Linked DNA regions of Arabidopsis thaliana. The protein of the gene in region 3 interacts with the protein of the main gene of each other region in a pairwise test. Each region holds a gene or a part of one and is shown on either strand. Other genes may lie near its edges. The genes, in order: AT5G65400, AT4G15545, AT4G35110 and AT3G20260.

Evidence for each region.
Region 1: the proteins of AT4G35110 (region 3) and AT5G65400 interact in a two-hybrid assay, tested with the Arabidopsis thaliana proteins (one large-scale study listed by BioGRID).
Region 2: the proteins of AT4G35110 (region 3) and AT4G15545 interact in a two-hybrid assay, tested with the Arabidopsis thaliana proteins (one large-scale study listed by BioGRID).
Region 4: the proteins of AT4G35110 (region 3) and AT3G20260 interact in a two-hybrid assay, tested with the Arabidopsis thaliana proteins (one large-scale study listed by BioGRID).

Annotation. Positions count from the first base shown.
Region 1 is NC_003076.8:26,129,555-26,134,097, forward strand, and holds AT5G65400 (alpha/beta-Hydrolases superfamily protein), read left to right. Parts: upstream 1-1,728; 5' UTR 1,729-1,839; coding exon 1,840-2,172; intron 2,173-2,330; coding exon 2,331-2,429; intron 2,430-2,526; coding exon 2,527-2,568; intron 2,569-2,797; coding exon 2,798-2,942; intron 2,943-3,186; coding exon 3,187-3,288; intron 3,289-3,416; coding exon 3,417-3,508; 3' UTR 3,509-3,746; downstream 3,747-4,543.
Region 2 is NC_003075.7:8,873,762-8,878,620, forward strand, and holds AT4G15545 (PH-response transcription factor), read left to right. Parts: upstream 1-1,894; 5' UTR 1,895-2,170; coding exon 2,171-2,482; intron 2,483-2,569; coding exon 2,570-2,638; intron 2,639-2,738; coding exon 2,739-2,792; intron 2,793-2,881; coding exon 2,882-2,921; intron 2,922-3,007; coding exon 3,008-3,106; intron 3,107-3,188; coding exon 3,189-3,413; intron 3,414-3,495; coding exon 3,496-3,617; intron 3,618-3,713; coding exon 3,714-3,806; 3' UTR 3,807-4,038; downstream 4,039-4,859. Other genes in the region: UMAMIT38 (EamA-like transporter family), read left to right, coding at 59-172, 377-587, 686-844, 912-1,063, 1,290-1,425; IAGLU (indole-3-acetate beta-D-glucosyltransferase), read right to left, coding at 4,116-4,859.
Region 3 is NC_003075.7:16,711,704-16,716,554, forward strand, and holds AT4G35110 (phospholipase-like protein (PEARLI 4) family protein), read right to left. Parts: upstream 3,089-4,851; 5' UTR 2,614-3,088; coding exon of another isoform or gene 2,600-2,613; 5' UTR 2,523-2,599; coding exon 2,500-2,522; exon of another isoform or gene 2,307-2,499; coding exon 2,161-2,306; intron 2,081-2,160; coding exon 1,785-2,080; intron 1,698-1,784; coding exon 957-1,697; 3' UTR 712-956; downstream 1-711.
Region 4 is NC_003074.8:7,063,280-7,068,639, forward strand, and holds AT3G20260 (DUF1666 family protein (DUF1666)), read right to left. Parts: upstream 3,451-5,360; 5' UTR 2,473-3,450; coding exon 2,037-2,472; intron 1,953-2,036; coding exon 1,536-1,952; intron 1,448-1,535; coding exon 1,233-1,447; intron 1,157-1,232; coding exon 911-1,156; 3' UTR 631-910; downstream 1-630. Other genes in the region: AT3G20270 (lipid-binding serum glycoprotein family protein), read left to right, coding at 4,500-4,759, 4,851-5,002, 5,085-5,221, 5,296-5,360.

The DNA.
Region 1 (4,543 bases), on a different chromosome or scaffold from region 3:
ATATTTGATCAGTAACACACACATATCAGTGATTAACAACTTGTTTTATCGTAAATAAGAGAATACATTTTCAAAACTAAACATAATTAAGTGATAGATCATTTTATCACTATAATGTAGTCGCATATATGTATATATATAATTTTGTAGGATTTTTAGGTTAACTCAATTTTTAGCTCTTAGTTGTAAATTTGTCATTTTTTAATGATTTGGTAAGTATAGTAGATGAGAAATCGAAGTTGAGAACCAATTCTATCCGTTGAGTATAAAATCATCAATGGTTTTAGAAGACCGGATTGGTTTAGCTAAATCGAATCATGATTGTCAATAATAATTGGAGAGAGAAAACGTATAATGAAGTAGTATTGAATATTGTATCATGTTTGTCTTACTGTCTAATCGATCCACCCACCGATAATAATAGTATACTTTTTCTGATATAGTAAATAGTAACGATCTCTTTGCCCGTATACGATGAACCTTAATGACAAAAATACAGATCTATCAAGAAAGAACGATGTCGTTATTATCGTATATCCCATGTGCGTAGCAGACCTATCGGGATAATTTTTGATTACTGGTTATGGTTTTATTGTTGTCGTTACCGTTGGATATTTGCTGTTTTTCGTTTTATTTATTTTCTTTTGTCCATTACTATCTCTTGTGTTTGTTGCTAGTAGTAACAAGAGTTGGAGATAGCTGTCAGAGAATTTTATATAGTTGAATAATAAATACAAATATTATAACCCCAAATAAAACGGGTACATATACATTACAACATAACATAACAACGGAAGAAGACATTTGATAGCCTGTAAAGGTCATTTTACAGTGAATCCAGAAGGTTCGTATTAATCATTAAATTAAAATATAATCGGTATTTGACAAAATGAACTGAATTATAGTTGGCAATTTTATGAGGCCCATATGATGCGAAACCAACCGACGATTATACACTATACCTACAATTTTTATTGCACTGACTCGATTGATTAATCCCTAACTAAAAGTTCAAAATATTTGCATCCAACTTTATTTTCATTAGTGTGAACATCAATATAAAGAATTGAGAAGATCATTACAGGTTGTTTCAGATGATAACGACAAGTTCGTTATATATGCACTATAACTTGCTTTGTTACATATGCTATAAAGTTCATTTGCAATATATACGATTTGATTACATCAGTGTGGGATTCCTAGAGGATGAATTAAGTGTTAAAAATGAATCTATACATAGTAGTTTGCTTTGAATCCATATGAAAAAACTGTTGAGGTTTAATGTCGAAATTTCTTTATCTTTGGCTTCGGCTGCAGTCAAAATTGCCGAAAGACCACCTCGACTCCAAACCATTTTCTTGATAATTGTAAAAAAAAAAAAAAAAAAAAACATGATGTCCCATATGCGTGTCTAATAATATATATAGCCAAGAAGCATATATTTATTTAGGGGAAGAGAATGCTAAAGCATGAGTTTTGTGCTGGCTTTATGTTGTTGTAACTCTTAGAGCAACATGTATTCACTTCTAACTGAACTTTACATAATTTAAAGCATGATTTGGATTATCTAAAAAAAAGTTAGATTATGATGAATATACAAGTTTTTTTTGTTAGTGGAAAACTCTCATTTCTTCGAGTAAGCTTCTCCATACATAATTTTCATTGTCTATATATATATTGATCTATTTGTAATTGTAACTCTTGAAAGTTTGGAAAATATTTGTAATAAGAGATAAACAATGATATGGGCCGATATTTGCGAAACTGATTTCAAAGGATTCTTCTTTATGGGCCTATAGAGTTTTGGGCCTTTCTACCAAAACTTTCGCGACAAGCGATATGTTAGGGCACAAGGACAATTCGAAACCTGAGAAGAGAGCTAGAGCTTGTCAGATGTTAGGATACTCCTATCCTTGTTTCCAAACGGGATTACGGTTAACGACGGCGATGGCGCCGGAAATTCACCTGAAACCGAAGAACCCTAGAATTTTATGCCTTCATGGATTCAGAACTAGTGGTCGGATTCTCCAAGCCGGTATAGGTAAATGGCCGGACACAATTCTCCGAGATCTCGACCTCGATTTCCTTGACGCTCCTTTTCCGGCCACCGGGAAATCGGACGTCGAGCGTTTCTTTGACCCACCGTATTACGAGTGGTACCAGGCTAACAAGGTTCGTTGCAACAAAATCCTAAATTTCCTTGAATTCAGTATTGATCATTGACACTGTTAACACTATCAGAGTAAAGGTTGTTTTTTTTCTCTAGAAAACAGAGAGATTTGGTCTAAGTTTGTATACATAATTTGATTTGTGTGTGTGTGTGTTTGCAGGGGTTTAAGGAATATAGGAATTTTGAAGAGTGTTTGGCTTATATAGAGGACTACATGATAAAGAATGGACCTTTTGATGGTCTTCTTGGTTTTTCTCAGGTTTGTTTTGATTCTTTGGCGAGATTTTAGTACTGATCACTTTCATATATATCAGCAGGAGGATCGTGGACCGTTGATTCTTGATCCATTCTTGCAGGGAGCTTTTCTAACTGCAGCTATTCCTGGAATGCAAGAACAGGTACATAACTGCATAACTGATCATAATCCTGGTTCTGAGATTGAATCTGCTTATGATATTTTGAAGAATGAAACCTATTGTTAGAGTAGTTTTCTATTGTTCTGTTTTGAGCAAGTGTGTGATGTTGAAACCATTTATATGCAACAGAGAGGTTGAATCTGAATTGAAGAATGAAACATGTTGTTTTAATAGTTTGAGTAAGTCTGTGATGTTGTAAACTGTTTTGTAGGGATCGGCTCTAACTAAGGTGCCAAAAGTCAAGTTTTTAGTTATCATTTCTGGAGCGAAAATTCCAGGGTTGATGTTTGGGGAGCCTAAAGCTGCTGTTAATGCATTCTCATCTCCAGTTCGTTGCCCATCACTCCACTTCATAGGTAAACTGTTACTACGTTGCGCATGTTCTTGACTTGATTTCTCGGTTATGTTGTAATGCCAAGTTTCTGTTGTTTGAAGCTTACGTTAGTAGTGTGCCTTTAGTGTAGCCAAGATTGGCATGGGAGTGTTTAGACTAGAATCTAATCTGCAGCACTACATGTTAACGTTAGAGATTCTCTCCTACAACATTTGATATGACATAAGAGACAACTTGTTTGTAATTCTGTATCGGTTTTGCTGCAGGTGAGAGGGATTTCCTGAAGATAGAAGGTGAAGTGCTTGTAGAATCATTCGTAGAGCCAGTGGTGATCCATCATTCAGGTGGACACATTATACCAAAACTCGGTTAGTAAGCATGAAAGGCTGATCATTTAAGCTCTGATTTTTTTTGGAGAAATATGCAATTGAAATAAGTAACATAAGATCTGTCTCTTCTTAATTTACTCTAATGAGCTTATCTTTGTCTTCTGCAGATACTAAAGCTGAGGAGACAATGTTGAGTTTCTTCCAGAGCATTAGGCAGATGCTTTCTGATGAATCAGGTTCTGTAAGAAGCTTGATGTGACTGAGAGCTACTCCAGTATGGTTTACTTTAGATTAGATGATCTTGCAATTTTATAAAATTGTGAGATGTGATTATTCTTCTGGTTTAGTCTTTATCCAGGGACAATTCAATAAACGTAAATTATTAAATTTACCAACCAATATGGATTGCCCGTTCATGTAATTACAGTTTATAGAGAAGAGCCAAAGATGGTCAAATAGTTTGGTACAATTGTCTTCCTTTAAATATATGAGCAGCCAATATCAAAAACTCTATTCAAACTTTTTTCTTTGTTATAGGAAAAATGTTAGGAGAATTTAACAACAAAAAAAAAAAATGATGGAAGAACAAAAAATATGGAGGGGGGCATCAAAGAAGGTGAGTTAAATTATTGTCCTTTAGATGTATTAATGGTCAAATGGATCTCATGATAATCTATGAGTTCCACTTGTAACAAAGTTTTACTTCTTTTTCAATCTACCCCCTTATACCCTATTAACTTAGCCTTGTCGGTTGCTTTCTAGTCTTAAAAAAAAAACAAAATTTCAACTCTTTTTTTATTCTTGTATGAAATAATTGATTGAACATATCGAATTACAGATCATATGATTACCCCTCATTTCAAAATAAATATATGATAAACAGTAGACGTCGACATGGGTTGTGTAATTTCAGACTTATATGTATACCCATCATAAGTATTCTCACGCTTGCAAAGCTTTAACTGTTTAGTTTTCATGCACTTTTAACAAATCATCATCATAATCTATTTTCAACAATTTGCTTATATCTTGAAATAGTTGTTTGGTTTAGTTTTTGTGTTGTTTTCCCTGTTCTCATGATATACCAAACCACTATTTTAATAAGAGGTAGAAAATAATTTCTCGTGAGAATGTCTAGTTGTGAATTGTGATGACCGTATCAACATTAATGTATAGATATATGCAATAAATTGAATTTCAAAGACCCTATCATTGACTTAGGAAATCTATTAACTCATGAATTATGTCTGGCATAAAACTGTTGAATAGTTTTTACATGTTTCTTTTGATAATA
Region 2 (4,859 bases), 7.8 Mb from region 3:
TTTCTAGATTTATGAGCATTTTCGGGTTGTTTATCGCTAACTTGGGGGTGAATAACAGGCTCACGTCGCGGGTAGCTGGTTGTAAAGGTATAGAATATAGTTCCCCAACTCTTTCCTCTGCTATCAGCAATCTTACACCAGCTTTCACCTTCATCCTTGCCATCTTCTTCAGGTTCCACTTTCTCCTAAACCGGGTGATTCCAATCTTAACCATACAAAAGATATGATTTTCACACAGTAACAGTCAATATGAAATGATATTTTTGTCTGTGAATTATGGAGTAGTTGTATAAGTATGAGAAATGTTGGATAGATATGAGGTTTGTTTGTAACTCTAACTTTGATGACTTGTTCTGCTTCCTTGGGTGACTTAAAGGATGGAACAAGTAATGTTAAGAAGCTCTGCAACTCAGGCTAAAATCATTGGCACAATAGTTTCTATATCTGGTGCTCTGGTTATTGTTCTGTATAAAGGCCCAAAACTTCTTGTTGCTGCATCGTTTACTTCATTCGAGTCAAGTTGGATAATTGGAGGCCTTTTGCTCGGTCTGCAGTTTTTGCTTCTTTCAGTCTGGTTTATTCTTCAGGTAGTACATACACTTGGAACAGATTCATGAAAGAGATTTTTGGATTTGTTGGTGACGCATAAGATTGAGCTAAATTTGTCACTTCCACATGATTTTAGACTCATATCATGGAGATATACCCTGAAGAAATAGCCGTAGTCTTCTGCTACAACTTATGCGCAACTCTAATCTCAGGGACAGTATGTCTACTTGTAGAAAAAGACTTGAATTCTTGGCAGCTTAAACCAGGTTTCTCCCTCGCTTCAGTCATATACTCGGTAAGTAATCAAACCTCATAAGTTGAGAAATCAAATCTTTAGCTCAGAAACTAATACTCTGTTTCAGGGACTCTTTGATACATCATTGGGCTCAGTTATCCACACATGGGGTCTCCATGTGAAGGGTCCAGTCTACATATCCTTGTTCAAGCCGCTGTCTATCGCAATTGCAGTCGCCATGGCTGCTATATTCCTCGGCGACACACTTCATCTTGGGAGGTACCATCTTATTACCTTCAACTTTATAATGTCTCTTTCTTAAAGAAACATAGTGATGATAACTTAGTTCTAGGTGTTTGAAATGTTTAGTTTCATCTTCAAATACATAATGAATAATAAAATGTGAAGACAGTAACAACTAACAATCGATATAGATTTTCGGTTGTTAGGTAATAAGATTTACATGATTGGTACATATAAATTTGCATCTATGTGTTGTGGGCAGTGTGATTGGATCAGTGATATTGAGCTTTGGGTTTTACACTGTGATTTGGGGCAAAGCAAGAGAGGATTCAACCAAAACAGTAAGTGATTCTGAGCAATCACTTTTATTGCCTTCACACGACAGAGAAGAAGATTGAAACCTTGTCATGAAAATATGTTGGAGACAAGTGTAATCGTTTTCTTATTTTATTCATAATTATGGTCCCATTAGATGATGATGATCCCTATTTATCTTGTAAGTTGTAAGATCTTATGACTTGTACAAAAAAAATCTAACATGATACATTGAAATGTGAAAAATGATATACTTATTTGTTGAGAAAATGATAATATTTCTTATAGTATAAGGAATTTATTTACTTTTCTAGGGGGTAAAATCCAGCTATGTCCGGATTTTCGGTTTGTTTGCAATTTGAATCCGGTTTTGTATCCAGTTTGACGTTTGGAATTGGATACAATGTATTTGTCTCCTCTTATGTGTCCAATGAATTATAGTCCTATCCATTCATAGAACAAAAACTTGGCTTACCCAATTCAATACCACACATTATGTCATATCACTTCACACAAAAAGACAAACCATACGTGACCACATTTCTCTTTATCCACACACATTCACGTCTATCAATTCAATCATATCAACATTACATAACCGAACCGGTATCAATCCCAAACCGGAATTGTATTTCCCATAACACAATAGAATTTAGCGTTGACATAATGAAGCTTTTTGTAATAATACAGTCTCAATCGATGAATATTGATATGTAAAATCAAGAAATTGTTTGGTTTAGACTCAAATTTCGGTTTAATACTAATACCGGGTTATACCGTAACCGTATATGAACTCATAAGGTACAAAAAAAACACAGAAAACGAGAAATGTCAGAGATAGAAGAAGAAGAAGAAGAAGGATCAGCAAGTGCAATTACAGGTTCGAGAAGTTTCGATCTTCCCGATGAACTTCTTCAAGTTCTACCGTCCGATCCATTCGAGCAGCTAGATGTAGCTCGCAAAATCACATCCATTGCTCTCTCGACACGTGTCTCAGCTCTCGAATCAGAGTCGTCGGATCTCCGGGAACTTCTCGCCGAGAAAGAAAAAGAATTTGAAGAACTCCAGTCTCACGTTGAGTCTCTCGAGGCTTCTCTTTCCGATGCGTTTCATAAGCTTTCTCTCGCTGATGGTGAAAAGGTCCGACCCGACCCGGTTTTTGACTTTATTTGTTCTGTTTTGACCCGATTCATTTTTACTGATTTTGATCTAATTATCTTCTTCCAGGAGAATCTGATAAGAGAAAATGCTTCTTTGTCTAATACTGTCAAGAGACTTCAGAGAGATGTCTCAAAGGTAATTTTGACTCTGTTTCAAATTTGACGTCAGGTCTCTTTGTTTCTAAATTTGGAAGTAGCTGAGATTTTAGGGTTTTTGTTTCTAAATTTGTGTGCAGCTTGAGGGTTTTAGGAAGACGCTTATGATGTCTCTTCAAGATGATGACCAAAATGTATGAAACTTATACTCTTCATGTTCTCTAATTTGCTTTGAAGTAACAAATTCATGATCTTGAATTGATTGTGTTTGGTTTTGTAACAGGCAGGAACAACGCAAATCATCGCTAAGCCGACACCAAACGGTATAGTTCTTGTGAAGATTTTAGTGAAAACTTGTGTTCATATACCAAAATGGATGGTTCTTATTGTGGTTTATTGTCATTTTCAGATGATGATACTCCATTTCAACCTTCAAGACATTCATCAATCCAATCTCAACAAGCTTCTGAAGCCATTGAACCAGCTGCAACTGACAACGAAAACGATGGTATAGTACTTGCTTGCTCTCAACGCTTAAGCCACTAACCTTTTGTGTTTAATGCGTTAGTTTGTTTTGTGTTATATCGTAGCTCCTAAACCAAGTTTATCAGCTAGTCTTCCGTTAGTATCACAAACTACTACGCCACGGCTTACTCCTCCTGGTTCTCCACCAATCTTATCTGCTTCTGGTACACCGAAAACAACTTCGAGACCTATCTCTCCTCGACGCCATTCTGTATCGTTCGCTACCACTAGAGGCATGTTTGATGATACTAGATCTTCTATTTCAATCTCAGAGCCTGGTTCACAAACTGGTAAGTTCAAACCAAGATTTTCTTGTGGCGGGTTTTGGAACAACACCTTTATTTACGGTTTGTTTGTTATCTTCGTTTTCAGCGAGAACTCGGGTTGATGGAAAAGAGTTCTTTCGACAAGTCAGGAGCCGATTATCTTACGAGCAATTTGGTGCATTTCTTGGAAATGTGAAGGATCTTAACGCCCACAAGCAAACAAGAGAAGTAAGGAGAATCCTCTCTCAATCATCTTTACCCTCTTTCGATTCAAAACTTGGATTCTGATTCGACCTGCAATGTCTTTTCTTCTTTGTTTTCTAGGAAACACTTAGGAAAGCTGAAGAGATATTTGGAGGCGATAACAGAGATCTCTACGTCATATTCGAGGGCTTGATCACACGCAACGCTCACTAAGAGTTTGGCTTCTTCAGTTACACAAAGAACTTATATACTCGGAAACTCAGGATTCATCAGTCTGCAACATTCAATTTCTTTTGTTTCCTTGGCTGTCAAGTAAGACCAAGTAAAACTGACAATTTGATTGTATCATTTGTGCTCTCTCGTGTATCTATCTATCTCTCTCTTCTTGAATAAATTACATTTCATCATCTTCAAAACTAACCAATCAACATCCAAAATACTGTCTACTGTATTGTGTAAACATTGAAACAGAGCAAGGAAGAACAGAAAAGCGGAGTGTTGTTATAATTTCTGATACCAAAATCACATGTGCTCATCGACAAAAGCTTTGAGATGATTAAAGGAAGAGCCTCCTTCTCTCACAGCCTCCGCCGCTAAATCCTTCCACCTCGTGGCATTTCCTCTAAACTCCTCCGCCTTGTCTTCCATAACTTCCTCAATGCACCGCCGTATCTCCTCACTATCCACCACCACAACTCCTTCTTCTTCCTTCTTCTCCATCACTCTTACACCTGTTTTCCAACAATCTTCTAAAAGCTTCGCGTTCATCATCTGATCATTCCATTGCGGAAACGCCACCACCGGAACTCCTGAAACCAAGCTCTCCAGCGTAGAGTTCCACCCGCAATGCGTCACGAAACAACCTATCGATCTATGATTCAAAACCCTAAACTGATCACACCATGAAACCACCATTCCTATCTCATCGAGCTCTTCTCTGAAACTACTTATGCAATCTTCTTCCTTCTCTTGCTCATCTTCTTTATTTCTGTACGACTTATCCGTAATCACCCACAAGAATGGTCTCCGACTTTGTATCAACGCTTTACAAAGCTCCACAAGCTGTTTCTTGCTCAACACGGCAAGCGTCCCGAACGAAACATAAAGCACAGACGAATCCGCTTTAGTATCCAACCACTCTATGTATTCACCGCGACTCGAAAAATCCGTTCTCAACGTTAGTAACGGACCGACAGGGACAATCTTGAAATTATCTGGAACCGAGCTCATGGCTTCTGGCTCAAGCTCTTGGAAAGTGTTGATGAG
Region 3 (4,851 bases):
ATTGAAGTAACTGCTGTCTATTAGTTAAGATCTGAATCTCCAATGAGGTTATTTATAATTACTTACTCACATTGTGCAACAAAACCAAGCACAATTTGTGGTCCACAAACCTTTATCTGGAGGTTTCTGGTTCAACTTCTCCGGTTTACACTTAAATCTTCGTTTCGTGAGCAAACCCAACGGGGAGCTTCCCGTTGGGCCATGTTTCAGTGGGCTCGGTGTAAAGCCGACATGAGTAACTGAAGCCCAGTAGCATTGTCGCAAATAACAGATTGATTTGTCCGTTGCAAACGGTTTAAAAGCAGAGTACGATACTTTGTTACTTTTAAAAATATCAAATCTAACAATTATGTAACAAAATCAACTAGTGAATAACATAAAAACATAAGATATATTTGGCTTTAAAATCCCCTAAAAATCATCGTTATGGAATAACATCTACTTTTCGACAAAAACAAAGTAACAAAAAAATCGAAGAGTAGAGCTCAAATTGAGTGTAATAAAGAATGAACTCAACAAAATTATTCATTCCTTTATTTTGCAAAAGTGTTGTTTTGACATTTTCTATACACATATTTAAAAGAACTATACTATACAATATTCAACAAGTTCTGCTATAACTAACACAATAAATATAGTTGTGAATTTAATTTTTAATAAACAATCTTTCGTTTTCCAAACTCGAAGGCAACTTGTAATCTTTCCCATTATAGAAAACGAAAGAAACCAAAAAAAAAAAAACATAACCAAAGAAAAATGCATCACACAAATCAAAACGTATTTATTAGCAACAACCAAATATCTTAATATTTTTTATAAGTTACCAATAAATACCAGCTTTCCCATAATACTTAAAAACCCTAACCTTAAAAACTCATTTATTAGAGCATTTTTGATTTTGTGCTATTACCTACTACCCTTGGCTTACTACTAACAACATCACACACAACTCAAACTCACAGAAGCTCATCTATAAACGATTTCCCTTTAAATTTCTCCATTTTGAATCCCATTTTCTCCATCCTCAACCGTTCTGCTTCGATCTCAACCATCTGAGCCCGCGTCTCCTCAATCCGCCGCTTCACTTCCACCACTTCCTTCTCCATCCTAACCAAATCCGTTTCTTGAGCCTCAAGCTCTTCTCTCTTAGCCTTCACTAAACCATCATGCCTCTCTTTCTCATTTTCTACATCTTCTTGAGACTGCGCAAACTCTTCAAGAACAGAACGTAGCCAAGCTACTTCAATGTTCACAGACTCCAAGTCTTTGAGAACCGCAAGCATCTCTTTGACCTTGACTTTGCTCAACTGCCCTACCGGGGTTGACCTAAGTTCCTGCATCAGTGAGCATAAACACTCGAGGTAACGTGATCGCATTGAATCCGATTCCAGCTTACAGTTTTGAGCAATGTCTCCGTGCTTTTCGATGACAGCACTTAGTATAGTGGATGAACCCGATCTGACTCGGTATTTCCCGACAGAGACAAAAGTGTCAGACATTACTGATTCGAGATCGAGCTCTACACCAATCTCATTGTTGTTTTCGTCATCATCATCAGAAAAATCATCATTGCTCTCTTTTCCAGGCGATCTTGGAAGGCTTAGGAAACTAAAGAGTCTAGTTTCGCCGCCTTCTCCAATCTTCCCATTGTGTTCTTGTATTCCCGGTTTAGGTGATACCACTTTGCTTTGATCAACCTTCATAAGATACAAGAATCTTGATGTTTACAAATATGGTAAAGATATGGTGGTCGAAATCATGGAAGAGAGTAAAGGATGAGATACCAAATTGTTTGATGAAAGGGGAATGGTTTGAGAAGGTTTCTTCTCTGGTTTATGGTTGAAGAAATCATCCGGATCACCGGATGATGAAGAAGTGAAAGAATTTTTCGTTTCAGAAACAATCTTCTTCTTCACGGAAGCAGGTGGAGCTACAGAATGATGAACCTTTGGGGAATTACCATTTGCAAAACCGCCTCTGCCGTTTTGATAAGGCCTTGCGGATAGCGGTGTAGGCGGTTGTGAATTCGACTCCTTCTTTTTCCTACCGAAACTCCCTGAGAAGCTAAGAAGCCTTGAACCTGTAACATAACAGAACAAGAATCAGAATCCATAAAGGAAAAGTTTTTAAAATGGCAAAATCAAAAGCAGAAAAAAGTACTTTGCTTCTTAGTGTTCTTCTTGACATGGCCTTGAGCAATTTTCTCTAAACAAGCTGAAGCACATTCATGGAAAGGATTATCCGCATATACGCAATCTGGATGAGCTTTTCTATTGAAATCCATAGCTTTTTGATGAATGGAACAACTGCAACAAAATCAAGATAACTAATCAGCTCAAAGAAGACAAACTCAAAGAACAACACAAGAACTTCAAATTTGTGGTGTCAAAGGACTGAACATATCACATTAAGGGTAAGTAAGTGGTCAAACCTTTACACCTTAATTTCAACAAATAGTTCAAAAAGATTAGACACTAAAAACTTATAATATACAACAACCTCCCAACGAAATTGGATTCCATTCATATTTCACCAACCCTTTATATGATGAAAGAAAAAAAGTAAAGAGGGAGATTGTGAGAAGCAGAGAGAGATTCACCAAAACATATCCATAAAGAAATTTCTTACGAGTAATAGTGAAATTGATCCCCACAAAACCAATCAAATCATAAAATGTATAGGTATAGAGAGATACAAAAAGACGACTTTTGGTTTGTTTCTTCTCCTTAATACTTTCATGGACCGACCATGCAATTTCCAAGTACAATTTTCCAGTGAGATACTAAATTTCAACGGTGGAAGCACTCAGTTATTGACTTAGACCAGAGTTAAAAGGTAGATTATTTTGACCGGCTTGTTTTCTTGAACAGACAAAAACTTCCAAGGCCCACCCTTGTGGATAATATTTTTTTAATAGGTTGAAATTTCGTTTTCCATGATTGTCGTTTGTCACAAAATTTCCTTAGAACAGAGCAAAGAAACAGAGCATATGACAATAAAACAGTATCAATCAGTTTCATCATCGATCATTGAATTAATTCTTAAAACAAAAGCAAACCCACGATTCTGATCGAGATCAAGAATCTATTTGTGGATCAAAGAACCAAACTTTTAATTCACACAAAAATGCAATCAATCAACAAACAGAGAAATAAAGAGAAAGAGAGAGAGAGATATACCAGGAGAATCGGAAGAGGGAGAGAAATGTGATGAGCGGAGAAAAATGAATAAAATGTTGATTTTTATTTTTGTTTATAAGGTATAACAGTTGTGTATATTATAAGGTTCATGTGACATTGTCTTTGGTATAATAATAATATGATGATGATGATGAATTGACCAAAGCCAATATTACCAATTGAAGATAGAGAGAAGCATTTAATTGAAAAGAGGTTGGAAACGGCAATCAATCACACACCTCACTTATCTTCCAGAAGTGGACAACAACGTGGGACGGTTATACAAATACGAGTGAGATTTTTAGAGTCGACGAGAATCGAAAGTAGAAATCTGTAACCACTTAAAGGAAAAGAAATTTAAGAGACAAAAATAAAGAAAGAAAGTTGTCAGTTAAAACGCGTTATTGCGTGTCATTGTTTGCATCACACGTGAGGTTCTTAAGAATCTCAAGTTCTTAACCATATTGCTATATCTCTTGTCTAATTTTATGCATAGAAGTTATCTTTTTTTTTGCTGTCCATTATTACTTAACCAATAAAACTTAGACATCTTTCAATTAATAAATATAGATAATATAAAGTTATGTTTACATTGGATCTCTTAGTATTTTTTCTAATTGTTGTTGCAGATAAGTATAAATCAAATCAAATATATAAATATCATTACTTGCGAATAAGTGTTGATACCAAATTTTCTGATAATATTATGGAGATTGCTTAGGTAAAACATATTTTTATGATTCAATCCGAAGGAAGGAAATTTTCTACCCGATTTGTCAAAGTGCATGCATGTTGATCCGATAGGAAACAACATTTATTATAGAATCTGATAAAAGCATCTTTTTGTTATTAATTGTGTCATCTTTCGTAAGTCGTAATTTTAGTATTAGTACAATATAGTTTCGAAATGCGAGTAGCTTATCCAGAAGCGATAAATGACCATTTCCCCAAAAATACTTTCATCCTTTTTTGTTGGGGGTCAGACTTCATATCATGAAGAAGAAGAAGAAGAAATACATAGAGTCAACTCTAGAGCGTTGGCTTTTAAAAAGACATGAAAAGATTTTGTTAATACTATAATGCACATTCTTTAAATAAATCATTTAGCAAACTACTCTAATACGACCATTCTTTTTCATTCATGCAACATGTCTTTTTCTTTCCCTGTTGTTCTCTAATTTTATTTTACTCTTCATTCATTTGTCTTCGTTGGTGTTTCTTTTTTCTCTTTTTTTTTTCCAGAAAATTAGATATTTATGACCAAATCCATATTTTTCTAATAAAAAATAGAAATATTGTCAGTATACCTGCACAATCGTGTGAACGAGTCACCTGAAACATGATAAATTCTTCTTTCCCCTAAAGCTTACTCGTGTCTCCATCAAGAAATCTTCCAAGAAAGAGACTAGTTTAGTGCATTGTTAGAGAAGTCTCAAATCCTATGACTATGAATCATCAAGCAAGTTACATTGTGTAAGTGTATCTTTCTGTCTTTCATTTTTTTTTTGTGTATACATGTACATTTGAAGGTATACCAAAATCAAGGGAGGGATCTTAAAAAAAGTTTGAAAGCAGCATAGAAAAGTTCTTTATACGATAAATCCATAGATTTTCTTATACGAATTTGGTGAGTTCGGTTTAAAAAACTGAACACCGAAATTCCAGTAACACA
Region 4 (5,360 bases), on a different chromosome or scaffold from region 3:
TTGAAAAGTTTGCTTCAAGGGGCTTCGTCGAGTCACCAAGTCAAGACTAATCTTAACACTTTTTTGTTTCTCGGCAATTATTGTAAGGTTTTAGTCTTTAATTTAATACACAAAATTTTATTTAAAGAGTTTTTCGATATCGCATTTTTAACAACATTACAATATTCAGCATCACGACGGATTCGCACACGAAGAGGTCGTCGTCTCCTTATAATGACTAAACTACCCCTCAGCATGTTCTTTAACGGTGGTGGTGAAGCAAGCCCTTTTTGGTCATTCAAGCTTTGGCTCCAAATTGGTGACTAGGTTTGCCACGTGTTGACACTTCTAGTTGAAAGAGATACGTTCACGTGGCATTGTCTCTGTTGCCTGTTACTACGCCACCACCAAAACACACTTTAAGTTTTTTGTTTTTGTTTCTTCTTCTTTTTGGATTAAGAAATTCTAATTGTTTGTTTTAAGAACCTGAACACTGTTCAACAGTTTTATAGTTATAGTTCTTAGGATTTTTGTTAAATAGGAAAGTGTGGAAAAGAAATAAAAAGACTTTGGCCAAAAACAATGAAAGTGATAGAAGAATAAGACTTTTCTATCACCATCATGATCATGATCATGGATTTAGTTTCCCATCAACAAGACAACATTGGATTCTTTCATATGTGCTAAATCCAAACGACAACAATGAAAATGGTCCCTTAATAGTGAATCTATGACCAAACCAAGTGTGTTCTTGGAATTGGACTCTTATTGCCAAGAGAATGAATGAAAGCAAATGGAACAACACACACAATTTCTTCTTTGATTTGTCTGCAAAAGAAAAATCCCCAAACCGGATCTTAAAGATCGTATAAAAAGGGAACAGTTGATGCTACAGTATTTGAAATCATTGTGTGTTCATCACTTTATTATATCAACAAGGGAAAAGAATTGGAGATGGGTGTCTTTGAAGCTTCCCAGCTGAAAAGTTGAGCTTTTTCATCTTTTCTTCACACCATAGAAGTTGCTCTTTACTGATTTTCGACATCCTCAAAACCCGTGTTGCGAGTTTGATGTCAATGGCTGCAAACAAGAGTTGAACACCTTCCCATGTTTGAGGCCATGATTTCTTTCTCAGCCCTTTTGTCTTCTTTGAAAGCTCCTTTGCTTTCACCCTTTTCTGCAAAAGTTCCTCTCTTATGAGACACCAAAGAAGCATACGATAGTAATAACATTTGAGTACAGAGAAATCGTACCTTATCAATGGATGACTGAACCAGTAGTAAAGGAGTTGTAGAATTCACATGGTTGTTGTTGTGGTTCCCAAACAAGTGAATACCCCCATTTGGTTTCTTCTTATCCATTTTCAAGAAGACGTTGAAAGTAAGGATCGAGCTCTCTATGACTTTGATGAGATCATCAGCGAGGACCATGAAGCCTGTATCTTTCTCCATCTCCTTTTTATCTGACCCTGATATGTTTTGAACATAACCAACTTCAAGTGTTACTACTACACATAAGGTTTTAAGTCGCGCAATGTATGAGAGCTGAGAAATCACCTTGAATCTTAGGAGCTTGAAGTAGCTTAGGCATTGCATTTCTAGCACGAGCATAAAGTTCCGATCTTGAGCCTTGCTCAAACGGTTCATTCTCTATATACCTCTGCAACAAGACTAGGAATTGCTGAAACAGTTGGGCAGTATGGTTGTAGCAAGTCGGGGTTTCGGGTTGGCATGAGATTAAGTGGCTCAGCTGCGTGTATTGACAGTGAAGTGCCTCCCAAGTGAGGCAGAGTTGAGCAACATAGGCCGTCTCTAGATCTTGATAAGGGTCGTCAACTTCTGTCGGCTGCAAATGCTCGATATCTTCCTCCGGAACATCAAACTTTTTGAGAGAAAGACATCGGAAAGGCGATGACAGCTTCTTAGATGCAGATCTTGGCGATGGAGTTGAAGGACTTGGAGCAATTCCAATGCCTAAGAGATTGAAAAGTAACCAACAAATCCATGATCAGTCCAATCTATCACAATGAAAAACAGTTCAAAGCAAGAAGCTTTTACCAGTTTCCTTGAGCTGCTGAGAGCTTAAACGATCAAAGAAGAGCATACGCTCGCAATACTTTTCATAGACAGCATCAAAACCTCCCCACCATTGAAGTCCTTCAGCAACCACATCTCTCCACTCACTTGAACACTTGTCTTCTCCGTCATCATCATCTTCATCTAGATACGATTCCTCTTCTTCTTCTTCTTCTTCCTCAGGTATCAACACCATGAAACTGTTTCTCCTCAACTCCTTGAGCCTTCTCTTAACCTCATTGGTAATGAAATCATCATCGTCATCTTCGATCTCATCTCCTTTCCCCGAATCTATCACACCAGCTTCAGTGTTCTCACTCCTTGCCTGTTCTTGCTGAGCCAATATCTTGTCTTCTTTCTCCTTTTCAAGGTTTGGCTTCCGAGACTTTCGAAATTTTCTAACTTTCAAGAAATCCATTGCCTCCTCAAACACACTTAGGAGAGTGAGTGTTTTTTGTTAAATCATAAGATCTAAACTGAGACTAGTCTCTTTGCATGAGTAAAAGCGTTTCTCTTCTGCCACAACGAACTTAATCAAAGAATCAACCAAACCAGAGAATGAGGAAAATGCATGAATCTAGTAAGATCTCAGAGAATCATGAGCAAACCCTAGAGAATTAGGAACACCGACAGAAGATTAAGAATGCATAAGTAGATCAGTAGCAACAACAGCATTTGTCTGAAACTTTAGATTCGATTCACTAATCTCTAGCTGATAAGAACACTAGCATTCCCTGATAAATCAACACTCCACTGAAACTACTACTACACTGAGCAAAGAGTGTGAGAAAAAAAACAAAAAGAAAGAAAAAGATTCAAAATTTAAGAAAGAAAGAGAAACCCAAATAAAAGCAAAACAAAATCGAAAGACAAAGACAGGAGGAGGAGGAGATTAAAGAAGGAGAAATGTTTCTAACCACTTGCAAGAGAGAGAGAGAGAAAGCAAAGTATAATAATGTCTCAATTCAAGTTTTTTCAGTAAATGGACAGAGAGAGCACAATATAAATGTGAGAGAGGAAAGGAGAGCAAGTATTATTGATTCTTAAACAGATGTCATTAAATTCAATAATTAAACTTTGTGATTTCAAATTCCAAAAAAAAACTAGAAATTTTCTTCCTTTCTTAAAACCCTTTCCTCAAAAATTTCCATTTGCAGTCAAAACCCTCACAAAGAGGTTTCTGAGTCAATTTGACTTTTTGTTTATTTCCTAATGGGTCGAAATTGTCTTTTACTGTTTGGTTTCTTACTTTACTTTTTCTGATACTTCATTTTCTATTGGTTAATTTTTGGTTTTGTTTTGGTGTTTGATTAGAGAAGGAGAGAGATGTATGAATGAATGAAAAGGAGAAGAAGCAGTAACAAGTAACAACTGGTAGGTAGGTCAGTGGGGGGAGAGATAGAAAGAAAAGCATCGTACAGAGAATATTGTCAGAAAAGCCGCGCTATCTGTTCTCCTTCCATTTGCTCACTTCTCTCTTTTAAAATTACATCTTTACCCTCCTCCGTCTCATACATCTACGGGTCTTATCTTTGTTTCTGATGACAATTTGGGCTTCTCTTAAAATGGGCTTTTTCTTTACCAAATTTATGTATACTGCTATGAAACGACGTCGTCTTTTACTTTGGTTATATTGGTATGGTTTTTGAATTTACTTTGGTTACGATTCCGGTCTAGTGGATTGGATGAAACCGAATTGGAGAGCTTGAGGTTATGATCCATGGCTTCATTTGGCATGTCTCTCACACCAGTTCTTCTTCTCAGGGATTACTTACTACCTCTTGTAAGTTCTCATTCGATTCTATTTTTGCTTGAATTCTGTTTCAGCTGATGAAACGCTTGTTATCATCTTAGCCGTTTCGTTTTCTACTCTTTCTAGTTATAAAATTTTGACTTCTTCAAGAGAATTTTTTTTGGGTTCCAATCAATCAGATTGCTATGATCCTCTGAATAGAATTTTCTTGTTGATATAGGGACTTGTGTTGTTGAGTTTGAGCCTATAGTGATCAAATGGGATTCTCATATGAATTTTACTCAAATTTTGTTACTTTTTTAATCTTATAACTGTAGACAAAAGCTTATCCTTTTATTGGTTACAAATCGTATGAACATTTGATTCTATGCTTTTTGCTTTGCCATTAAGCAATTGATTTTTTTTAGTTTGCTTGTTTCCGGATTATGGGAATGAAGCTTCACTGGGATTAAGAATCTGTAAGTAATATGTTTTTGTTTAATAAGCTTTAGGCTTATAGATATGTTTTTTTAAAGTTCTAAGTTAGTGTTGTGTTTGTTACTCTTAAACATACTTAAAAAGCTACTAAATGAGTGCTATTCAATAATGTTCTGTTTGATTTCGATGGAATAATTTAGTGTGACTGATGTTGCTTTTATGTCGCTTATGTATTATTGGTGATCTATGTGTAAAACATGTGTTGCAGGATAGTAATGAACCGAAGTAAAGAAGAGAACGTTGCTCCGACAATGAAAGATGATAGTCCATTTGGAAAGCTTACAGAGGATCTCTTGATAGAGATATTTATCAGAATTCCAATAACAAATTGGGAACAAGTATCGTGTGTTAGAAAGCAGTGGGCTAATTTATTCCGCGGAGAATGCTTATGGCTGGCTGCTCTTAATCGGGCGTATCCACTTGCTAGCAAAACTAAGAGCTGGATTGGACCAATTCGTCAAGGATTAAGCAAACGGTGACTGGAAACACACTTGATTTCTATGAAAAAAGCTAGCTTAATAATGTCTTAGTTAGATTCAAGGAACTTAACAGCCTTTTAGCTGCAGGAGATATGTGGCTTTATACATCAGCAGAAACATATTAGGTGTGGATGATACAGACATAGATGAGATGCTTGGACATATTTACGTGTTCTTGAATGATCAGCTTCAACTTTCCACTATGCCTGCTTCAGGCATTTTGCATGGAACCCTTATCGGTAAGCTAGTTTGGTATATGCATTTGACTCTGCTTAATGAATCATTGCTAATGACGGCATTCATCTTATATTCTGGTGGCAGACCAATTGATTGTTTGTGGCCAATCGAAAGAAGAAGCTGGTGAGCTTGCAACAAAGATTTGGCTGGCTCTTCTTGACAATTTAGAGGACACAAAACATACATTTACCGTGCTGAAATCAATCGCACAAGAATATGATGTAAGAAAGGATAACAGTGTCCATAAAGTTTTCAAATTCTTTTCTAGTAGAAACTAACTATCTAAGAGATGCAGGGCTTTCTTCCATATCCATATTCAAGACCAATCAAAGTGCAGTGGAAGGTGTTCGAGAAACTGTT